Saccharomyces cerevisiae S288C: one gene and its partner. The protein of the gene in region 2 interacts with the protein of the main gene of each other region in a biochemical or structural test. Each region holds a gene or a part of one and is shown on either strand. Other genes may lie near its edges.

Region 1 (3,871 bases), on a different chromosome or scaffold from region 2:
AGCATAAGCTGAGATCAAGAAAGGTAGAGGAGGCTGAGATTGATAGGATTGTAAAAGAATTTGAAACCCGTAGATTGGAAAACATGAAGTCTCAGCAAGAAAATCTAAAACAATCGCAGAAACCTCTTAAGCGGGCTAAAGTGTCCAATACAATGGAAAATCCACCGAACAAAGTCCTTCTTATACAAAATTTGCCAAGCGGCACTACCGAGCAATTATTGTCGCAAATACTTGGCAATGAGGCTTTAGTTGAAATCAGATTAGTTAGCGTTCGTAACCTAGCTTTCGTGGAATACGAGACCGTTGCTGATGCTACGAAAATCAAGAATCAGTTAGGCTCCACTTACAAGCTACAAAACAATGACGTTACCATAGGATTTGCTAAGTAGAATTTCCTTTGCGGAAGTATACCTCGAGTAAAGAAATTCACAGATAAATTTGAATAACGTTCTCCATTATGAATAAATATGTATTTACAAGCTTAGAAAATAATGTGCTCTTTATTTACCAAATAATACAGTTCTCATTGCAGTAAATAAGCTTTCCTTTTTCTTACCGTCAACGGCATTTATTAACCGTTGATAATATTGGGGATTTCCTGCAGGTTTATAGAGCTTATCGCCAATATCGTAATAGTTTCTGAATTTATTATTCATTATAGTGCTCAAGGCACGAATTTGCTCGTTGATGCTTTCTTCCGTGAATTTCTCATCTACCATTTTATTTTGAATTTTGGTTAACATCTCCTTATTCAGTCCTAATGGACCGGAAGTTCTGTTAATTATACTTTTTATTTCATCTAATGAGGGTTTTTTCTCTTTTATAGATTTTCCTTTGTCATCTACATTTGGCAGACCCGCTACACGTCTAAATCTTGCTATTTGTACATCCCTGAATGAGACCAAGTGGTGTATACGATCCTTTGGATATTTTTCCAGTAAATTAACTAATTTTTTGGCAGAATCCCTGACGACCTGGGAAGAAGACATTTTGGCACTTGCTTGTGGAATACGGAGTTTAACTTGGTAAGCTGATAGAGAGAATGTTTCAATGAAGGCTACCTTTTTTTCTTATAATGTTGCTACCACAGGAAATCTTGATATACGTTAATGTTTTGGCCCCTACAAGGCCGGAAATATTTCGCTTTTTCTTGATATCAGAATTTTTCGCATGTCCGACCATGCGCAGAGCTGCTATGAAAGTACTTTAACTATTAGTGTGAGGAATGGCTAAATAAACAGCAGATGTGATTTCCGCACTTCTTTTATAAACTTCCAAAATAATCGTATTAGTGGACAGTACATAATCATATCTTGCAATACGTATCAATAGTAAACGAATTATTTATTCATACACACATGTATATACTTCTCGCTTCTTTTTTTAATTTACATGTTTGGCGATATATAGTTAAAATTAAGTCATTTATTTAGTCAGTTTCAGCTTCAGCTTCAGCTTGGGCAATAAAAGGAGTCAAATCCTTGGTACCTTCTTCCCAAGAAGCACCATTGTAAGTGATATCGCGGATAGCCTTGATGACATTTTCGACGGAACCTCTAACTTGCTTGGTGGAATCTCTTTCTCTCAAAGTGACAGAATGGTCTTTGGCAGATTCAAAGTCAATGGTGACACCGAATGGAGTACCTAATTCGTCATTACGGGCATATCTTTTACCAATGGAAACTCCAGAATCATCAATCTTAAATGGGATTTGAGACTTTCTTAAGATTTTGGCGACTTCAGTAGTAACAGGAACTAAATCTTTGTGGTTAGATAAAGGAACTAAAAGAACCTTTGTTGGAGCAACCAAAGGTGGGAAGGAAAGAACACTTCTGGCATTGTCTTCTGGTCTGTTCCAGAAAGAGTGCTCAAAAACGGAGTAGATGATACGGCCAATACCGAAAGATGGTTCAATGACACTAGGAACATATTCTCTAACGTGTTCAACCTTTGTTCTTTGTTCGATTTTAACCAATTTATCGTCCAACTCGACTTCGCCATCAACACCATCAACCTTTATAGTAAACTTGCCATTTGCCTTCAATAACTCAGCCTTGGAAGCCAAGTCATCTTGAGACATATTCAATAGATGAGATTCAACTTTTGGTGCATCTTTTCTGAATTTTGGACCGAACAATTTTTTCGTCAAATCAATTTCCCACTTGGTGACTTCAATTGGATTATCTAATTTTTGTCTAACAACCAATTTTTCTTTGGTCTTTTTGGAATGAACGGTCAAATCATAGGCAGATCTATCAGCACATCCGACACATTCAATCCACCCGTAAGATGTCTTCAATTCACCATCCCAACAGTCAGCAGCATAATGTGCCATTTCATTAGCCATATGTTGACGGAATCTCAATTTGGACTCATCAACACCAATTTTCATCAAAAATTGGTAAATTCTGGCAATAAAGTAACCCAAAGTTTCATTATCGACCATTCTTGAAGCAACTGCTTCACCAACTGTCTTGACAATTGGTTCAGTAGAACCAGCTTCTTGAACATCACGAGGCAAAAAGGAAAGCTTGATGTCTTTGATTTCATTAAATTTTGGATGAGATTTGTCCAATGGGTCAACGAAATGTTCAATCTCTGCCATCAAAAATTCACGGACTCTTAATAAACCGGCCCTTGGGGAAATCTCATTTCTAAATGATTTACCGATAGAGGCTGAGGCAAAAGGGGTCTTACTGTTGTTAAATTCTAACAACTTGTTAAAATTCAAGAATTGACCTTGGGCAGTTTCTGGCCTCAAGTAACCCTTTAATTGACCAGATGGGCCAATAGCCGTTTCAAACATCAGGTTAAAAGCCCTTGGAGATTCTAAAGTTTCTCCGGTGACTGGGTTACCGATATCGTATTTTTCCATCAATTCACCTAATTCTGGGCCGGAATAACCATCTATTTTAGCCAAAATTTCTTCATATTCTTTGACAACGTCGTCATCCAATTTGACTGCTTTAATTTGTTTAACTTTTTTCTTTCTCTTCTTCTTTTCGGCATCGTCCTTAGCAGCGGCATTAGCATCCTCGACTAAACCTCTGGCTTCTTGGTCACCCTTTAAGCGAGCTTCCAAAACTTCTTCGACTAAATGGTCAGCTCTGAAAATCTCACCAGTCTTCAAATCTCTACACATCCAATCAGAAAATTTGTCAACATGACCTGAGGTCTTCAAAACCTCATATGGAGTTAACATAGTACAATCAACTTCCAACATATCTTCTTCCAAAATAAAATGCTTTCTCCAGGCGTCAATGATGTTGTTTTGGAATGCACAACCTGGTGGACCATAGTCATATAAACCAGAAACCCCACCGTACAAGTCAAAAGCTGGGGCATAAAAAAATCTTCCTCTCAAAACACTTTCTAGCTGTTCTCTGTTAAATGGAACAGCGGCTCTAGCCTTCTTGATATCTTCTACACTCATTCTTTTAATCTTAACCGATTTTTTAACAATCTGAGAGTAAAATCGTCTACTGATATTGAAGAACGACAATTTTTCTTGAAAATCAACACGAATGCAAAAAGGGAAACTAAAATAAAAGAAATCCTCAAAAGTAATTGAACAGATTTCGAGTCCTAATTGCAAGTAAAATTATGTATACAAAGTACGTGATAAGTATCGCAGCAGTGATTCAACACTCGAGAAGAGTAAAAATTTTCAATTTTTTTCCACTGCGCTGAAATATTACGAGGCGTAGAAAATGATCACTACAATGCCGTTGCTGCTTATTGCAGCGTAAGTGAGCTTCATTCACAGACCATTTGCCTCGATAATCCATGAATCATATCTGGTTCATATTATGTTTGTAAATGTGTGTCTTGTTGCACTTAATCTATCGCGATAGCGCCAAACCAAGCGTTC
Region 2 (7,516 bases):
TGGTACTTTTGGAGGCGAATACAAACTTTCATCAGGAACAGAAGGAATAACCGCTGAAGATCTTCCATGTGTAATAATTGAAGATGGCCCAATTCCTATCATGGGTGACATCACTGCAAGTGGATGTTCACTTGGTTCTACAATTGCTTCCTTTATCGGTGGGTTAGATTCCACTGGAAAACTGTTTGATGCTGTGGTTGGTGCTGTCCTATTATACAAATCAGCTGGTAAGTTGGCTTCCACCCGTTGTCAAGGAAGTGGTTCATTCCATGTCGAATTGATTGACGCATTATATCAATTATTCCATGAAAATAAACCAGAAAAGTGGTCCGCTTCTTTGAAGAAATTCAAATAAACTATTTACAACGTAATGATTTTATAAACTGATTAAATAAGGAAGAAAGCCCAAAAAATTGGAAAAAACTTAAGGAATTTGTGCGGATAGTATCTGAAGAATAAATAAGTGTTTTCATAAGTTTTGAAGTTACAAACTAGCTCGTTTAGTTTGTATATGACAGCCTACTTCTCTCGCTTGGTAAGGTTTTAGGATCCTTGTCTAGAGCTTCATATTTTGCAATGGTCTTGGCCTTCAACTCTTCCTCTTGCTTTGGTGTCAGTTTTTCGACCTTCACCCCAGGAGGAACAAACTTGAATTTACCTGTGGCAAACTCTCTGTCTGATAACCTGCTTAGAACATATAGTTGAGAATAAATGTATCTCACAACAGACTCTAAATGAACCATATCAATGTTCTTTCTTCCACCAAAAAGATTTCTCCAGACAGCTGTCGCAAGTGTACCATCATCTGTAGCAAATCCTTCATCATATGCAAATATCGCTCCTCTTAATTGCGTATTGAAATCTTTCAAATATTGATCTGCGATTCTACCAGAATTAACTTTCATTTCCTCGAATAATCTCAGCTCAATGTCAGAAAATGTTCTATCTACCAATTTCTGCTGATAGTTTCTGCCGTATTTGAAAGGCATGGCTCTCATACGTACAAAAAGTATCCACTCGTGCAATACAGTGATTTGAAACCATTGTGAAAAAGTACGTGGTAGCTTCAAATCCTCGTAAAAGTATTTAGCAGTTTCTGATAATGGCTCGTCCTCGTATTGTAAACCTTGCTCTTTACAAATTTTATAATAGTAAGATCCTGCAACGGGCCCTGCCCTCACTCTATCCATATCTAAATGAAATGCTCGAATTACTAGTTCACCCAAGGCTTCTTTCCATTTGGGAAGTTCGTACTTTGACGATTCATATTTACTATGAGCTAGAGGAATTTTATTCTGAGCAGTTTTCACTGGTGCTTTATTGCTTACATCTAGTGGTTTCGAATTCAGATGTGAGCTTTTTGCTAAAAGCTCTGGCGAATCTTGTGCAGTTTCTTTATTTTGCTTGAAAACACATGTTTGATGCAAATAAGCTCTCGAGTAGTAAAAAGGGGACTTTCTAAGGAAAACAGGGAGTCGACCTGAAGTAAATCTATTGACTGACATCATCAAGTGTTGGAATAGCTGAAGAGATTGTTACGGAGATCATAGTGTTTGCTAAATATTAATCTTACTAATGCGTCAGTCGAGGACCAATTTTGACGTTGTTTTCCTTGCTGGCTATAAATTCAGAAGAACGCCGGGTAAAGCCTAAATACAACTCCAGTCAGACGCCCTGAAATGGGCCAATTTATATACGAGGAATAATGAATGGTGAAGATTAAATAGTAAAAGATATTTCTAATATCTTTCTAAGGCGTATACAGGAAGAGTGATTTGAACTGCAGAGTTGTTTCTAGTTGCGTTCTTCATCCTCTCGTCGTCTTGAAATAAGTTGACATTCAATCTCCTCTAATATACCCTGCACATCAAGATGTGCAGCTTTATCTACTCGTTGAGAACTTATCCCATAGCCTGAAACATGACTAATATGCTTATACCTCTGATGATTTAAAAGCTTCGTAAGAATATCCTCTTGCCTTTTTCTTTTCGTTTCAACTATAAATTCGAGGTCTATCGTCCTCAATTGTTCGAAATGAAAATTCAAAGGATAAATCAAATTTTGTTGCTTTTTGAGAAGTGCTCTTTCACATTCTCCAAGGTGAGCTACGTCTTTTAAAATCGCTTCCAAAACGAGATCATTCTTTGTCCTTGATAGTTTTTTGGAAATTTTCTCCATGTTGGAAAAATGTTGGCCGTTGGATGTACAAGTTGTCTCAATTCTTTTCAGTTCAGGAAACGTGAACTCGTTATTTTTCAAAAGTTTGTGATTTTTTTTGAAGGTTTCATCACATTCAATACGCCTTTTAATTTTGAACTGTTGCTTGTATGATACTTCAATACGGTCCATTTTGGATGTCAAAGCTTTCTTCAATTGTCCCTCATTTTCTCTTAAATCATCCAACCTATCTACTAACATATGTATATCTTCTATATCGTTGAAGAAAGCCCATTGATGATGAGAGAGTAGGAGCTTTTCTGGAGTTTCTGATATAATTTTTTTGTCTATGAATGCCGGAATAGTTGGCCTCATTAAGATACCGTTTGAATTAATTATCATGAAATTCTCACCTTGAGCAATTTGATAGTAAGACCCGTCTGTCGACCTAAATATTGAAAAGACTTCTTTTGTCGCGTAGGCAGTACCTTTTGCTTTAGCTAACAACTCCCATTTTTTCAAAGATTCGACGTCGACATCTAAGCAAAAGTTTATATCCGCTTCAGAGGGTCCTTGAACCCACAAAAAACAGCAGTTGTAAAGTTCCTCATTTTTTTCACTGATGGCTGATGACGATCCATTTGAGTCCATCCAATAATATCGATTTCCATTTCTATCTTTACCCAAAATCTCTAGTCTCTTGATATCGCTCTGAATCAATTTTGCCTCTAGGAAGGCGATATCTTCCATTAAGTATGCAATTTTCACTTTAAGGGCATTGACCTTACCTTTACATTCATCTGATCCATATCGGTTCATTGAAACGTTGCTGTGAAGCTTCACGCGATTTTTGGTTAACGTTTTTAGTTGCCGTTTCAATTTGATATACTCTTTTTTTGCACTATCCAACTTTAAGCGGATTCCATTGCACAGTTTTGGTACTTTATCTACCAACTCCTTAATATAACTCGAGAAATTGGACGCAAAATCTACGAGAACCCATAAAACATCAATTTTATCTTTTATAGATAATCTCTTGCGAAAGTTATCCCAGAGCTCATCACCTAAATTTACAAAATTCATGGATAAAGGTAGTATTTTTTTTGTGATACATTTTGCGACATCACTATATGCTATCATATGTGTATTCTGTTGCAAGATTCCAAGGAGACAGATCAACCAATTGCCGTTGCTAAAGTTTTTATTGTGCAAAAGTTTAACCCAGCTAGTATCTCCATAGTTCAAACACTTTTCTATAGCTATATCAATTTCTGTTTTATTTCCTTCCTCCTTTCGCTTTTCTTCAGTCCAATTGTCCATCAGATTACAATTCCAATCAGGTTCATTATCCGTCATCAGACACATTAACGAGCAAACTATATCAATGTAAAGTATATTCACTTTTTCGTACGATTGAAACTCCATATCGTCATTTTTTAGAGGCTTCCCTTTAAAAATGGAATACATTACAAATTCAGTACTTTTATCCGTTATAAATTTCCTCATTTTCTGGTTTCTGGTGAAATTGCTAGGTATTCGTTGACTCTCATCTGCATTAAAGACGTTAGCCTTCTCACGCTGGGATACGTTACTACTGGTCACTTGATTATATATTTCGTTTCTTGGCTTCTCATTTGTGAAACTCCCTTTGCTGTTGTAAGTTTTAAGAAAGTTTATTTTGACATATTCATCTACTAAAGCCTCCGGACTAGTACACTTGATAGTAGTAAGGAACTGATCAAAATTAAAATGTGATAGACCAATAAAACGTCCAAAAAAGCTCAGGAATTGATAAACAACCAATAGTCGTTCCGTTGGAAATTGACTGCACTCTTTGAACCATTTTTGATCGATATTCTTATATTCTAAGGAGCTATCTAAGTAGCTGATATTTTCAAATGGTATCGAAGGCCCAGTGAATGGAAGCTCCTTGTCGTCGACGGTTCCCTTCAAATCATTGTAGGCAAGGGAGTTCACATTATCGTAAATGTGGTCAAATGAGACTGAAATCTCGTCGTCAATTGCTTTTATTTTAGATAGTGACGTTTCCGACGTTTCCGACGTTTCCGACGTTTCCTTCCAGTCAGCAGGTTCAACATCGCTCTCTGGTGGTATAGTAAGAGGAGTGTAAAGCTCGGAAGAAGATGAGTTCATTCTATCCGGCAAATAATCAATCATATTAGGAGAGCATTTAGGGTTTACATCATATCTTTCTATATATTCTTGTTTCACCCTCCATGGTGCGTGCTCCTTATTCGATACTTTTATGAGTATTTCATTAAGAAAACACGCAATTATGAATTTAGAAAAGTGTGATTCTGGCCTTTTAATTTCATTCTGGCCTACAATTAGGGCCGCACCTTTAGATTCTCGATTCAGGCATTCTGTGATTAAATACAGTGACAATTTTGGGGCAGAAATTTCTCCCTTTTCACTTTCCATCATCCCGTTAGATTGAAACACATCCTTGACAAGGAACAACGTGACATTGTTTTCAATAGTTGGTGATTCTACCAAGTTAGGCTCTCCTTCTTTATAGGTAATCAATGCATTTTTTTGGATAGTTTTCAAGCACACCGTATCGCCTATAAAGAAACGGTTACTAAAACGCTGAAATGCGCTTTCTACAAGGTGTCCTACCTTCCTTATCGGACTGAAGTTTGCGAAATTTGCTATAGCCTTCCTTAGTTCTTTTGGTAAAAGATATCTGACCTTTTCACGGTGCTGTTCTTCGCTTTTTAACGCCTTGAAATACGAAAGGCCATCTTTTCCACTAATCTCACAGGTGAATATATCCCTTTTGTAAAAATCTAGCTTTTTTAAATCACTGTCATAATCATTTATACGCTCGCTACTTTCTTTAATCACCCATGGAGTTTCAGAGAAGGAATCAGCAGACTGTCCTATTTCCTTAGGTTGTATTTTCCTTCTGTTAAGCAGAACCATTTTTGCTTTGAATTTAAAGTACGGCTAGAAGAAGAGCCAAACTAGGGATTGCGATTTTTACTGAATGAAAATGATTGTCTCTCTTACTAAGTCTGCTAACATTTATCAGGTTCATAATGTTTACTATTGAAGTGGCGCGTTACAAGAAAACAAGTCATCCCATATTGAAATGACAACAAATAGAAAAATACACATAATTCCATATCGCTAAATCACACTATCATATACAAAATGGACCAAAGTAAACAAATGTCGATTCATGCAAGTATTGTTACATATCTTGTCACTTTCTCTTCCAAAAGTTGAGGATAGCTGTAAAGGTGCATTTGCTAAACTCTCAGAAACTGCTGGTCCTAAACAATATCAAAACAAATATCAGATAGGTAAGCTTAGATTATTTTAAGGACATGTGAGCCATAGTGCAGATACTCGTACTACTGTTGTAAATATTTCTGTAATTTCAAAGTTGAGATTATCTAGATGAAGTTTTTTTTTTGTTATCGCCTAAGTTTAATGTCCGTACAAATGAAAAATTTTCAAGGCGATGAGCTGAAGTGAAGCTTCAAAATTAAGGAAAGTATTTGCGCTGTTAAGGTAAAAATATCACATAATAGTAGCCTTTAATCAGCCATCTGAGTTATCTGAAACGATGGAGCAGTCTAATAAACAGCACCGTAAGGCGAAGGAGAAGAATACAGCAAAAAAGAAGCTCCATACGCAGGGTCATAATGCAAAGGCCTTTGCCGTGGCAGCCCCAGGTAAGATGGCGAGAACTATGCAAAGGTCAAGTGATGTGAACGAAAGAAAACTGCATGTTCCTATGGTTGATCGTACCCCTGAAGATGATCCGCCTCCATTTATCGTCGCTGTCGTGGGTCCACCTGGAACAGGAAAGACTACTTTGATTCGGTCCCTCGTCAGGAGAATGACAAAAAGCACTTTGAATGATATTCAAGGTCCTATTACTGTTGTCTCTGGTAAACATAGAAGACTAACTTTTTTGGAGTGCCCTGCGGACGATCTGAATGCGATGATTGATATTGCTAAGATTGCCGACTTGGTTCTTTTACTAATTGACGGTAATTTCGGTTTTGAAATGGAAACAATGGAATTCTTAAATATTGCTCAACATCACGGTATGCCAAGAGTACTTGGTGTAGCTACACATCTTGATCTGTTTAAATCTCAGTCAACTTTGAGAGCTTCTAAGAAAAGATTAAAGCACAGATTCTGGACGGAAGTTTATCAAGGTGCAAAATTATTTTACCTATCTGGTGTGATTAATGGAAGGTATCCTGATAGAGAGATTTTAAACCTTTCACGATTTATATCTGTTATGAAATTCAGACCATTAAAATGGAGGAACGAACATCCCTATATGTTGGCTGACAGATTCACAGATTTAACTCATCCGGAATTAATAGAGACTCAAGGACTGCAAATCGACCGCAAAGTCGCTATCTATGGTTATTTGCACGGTACTCCTTTGCCTTCTGCTCCGGGCACTAGGGTGCATATTGCTGGTGTTGGTGATTTCTCAGTAGCACAAATTGAAAAATTACCAGATCCATGTCCCACACCTTTTTACCAACAGAAACTGGATGATTTTGAACGTGAAAAAATGAAAGAAGAGGCAAAGGCTAACGGAGAAATTACAACTGCCTCTACGACAAGAAGACGTAAAAGGTTAGATGATAAAGATAAATTGATATATGCTCCAATGTCCGATGTCGGAGGTGTGTTGATGGATAAGGATGCTGTTTATATTGATATTGGAAAGAAAAATGAAGAGCCAAGTTTTGTTCCCGGCCAAGAAAGAGGTGAAGGAGAAAAACTCATGACGGGTTTACAAAGTGTTGAACAAAGTATTGCAGAGAAATTTGATGGTGTGGGTTTGCAATTGTTTAGCAACGGCACTGAGCTTCATGAAGTTGCCGATCATGAAGGCATGGATGTTGAAAGTGGAGAAGAAAGTATTGAGGACGATGAAGGAAAGAGCAAGGGAAGAACCAGTTTAAGAAAACCAAGAATTTATGGTAAGCCAGTTCAAGAAGAAGACGCAGATATTGATAATTTACCGAGTGATGAAGAACCTTATACAAATGATGACGACGTGCAGGACTCCGAACCAAGGATGGTTGAAATCGATTTCAATAATACCGGTGAGCAGGGTGCCGAAAAATTAGCTTTGGAAACAGATTCTGAATTTGAAGAGAGTGAAGATGAGTTTTCCTGGGAAAGAACAGCGGCAAACAAGCTGAAGAAAACTGAAAGTAAGAAAAGGACCTGGAATATCGGTAAGCTGATATACATGGACAACATTTCACCTGAAGAATGTATAAGAAGGTGGAGGGGCGAGGACGACGATAGTAAAGACGAAAGTGACATTGAAGAAGATGTTGATGATGACTTC

Evidence for each region.
Region 1: the proteins of CBP3 (region 2) and CBP6 are reported together in a solved structure, tested with the Saccharomyces cerevisiae proteins (one study listed by BioGRID).

Annotation. Positions count from the first base shown.
Region 1 is NC_001134.8:479,935-483,805, forward strand, and holds CBP6 (Cbp6p), read right to left. Parts: upstream 990-3,871; coding exon 501-989; downstream 1-500. Other genes in the region: MUD1 (Mud1p), read left to right, coding at 1-389; GRS1 (glycine--tRNA ligase), read right to left, coding at 1,430-3,433. UniProt on the Saccharomyces cerevisiae protein: This protein is involved in processing of the 5' terminus and the intervening sequences of cytochrome b pre-mRNA.
Region 2 is NC_001148.4:141,408-148,923, reverse strand, and holds CBP3 (Cbp3p), read right to left. Parts: upstream 1,509-7,516; coding exon 501-1,508; downstream 1-500. Other genes in the region: THI6 (bifunctional hydroxyethylthiazole kinase/thiamine-phosphate diphosphorylase), read left to right, coding at 1-355; YPL216W (uncharacterized protein), read right to left, coding at 1,795-5,103; GTPase BMS1, read left to right, coding at 5,753-7,516. UniProt on the Saccharomyces cerevisiae protein: Chaperone required for the assembly of ubiquinol-cytochrome c reductase of the mitochondrial respiratory chain.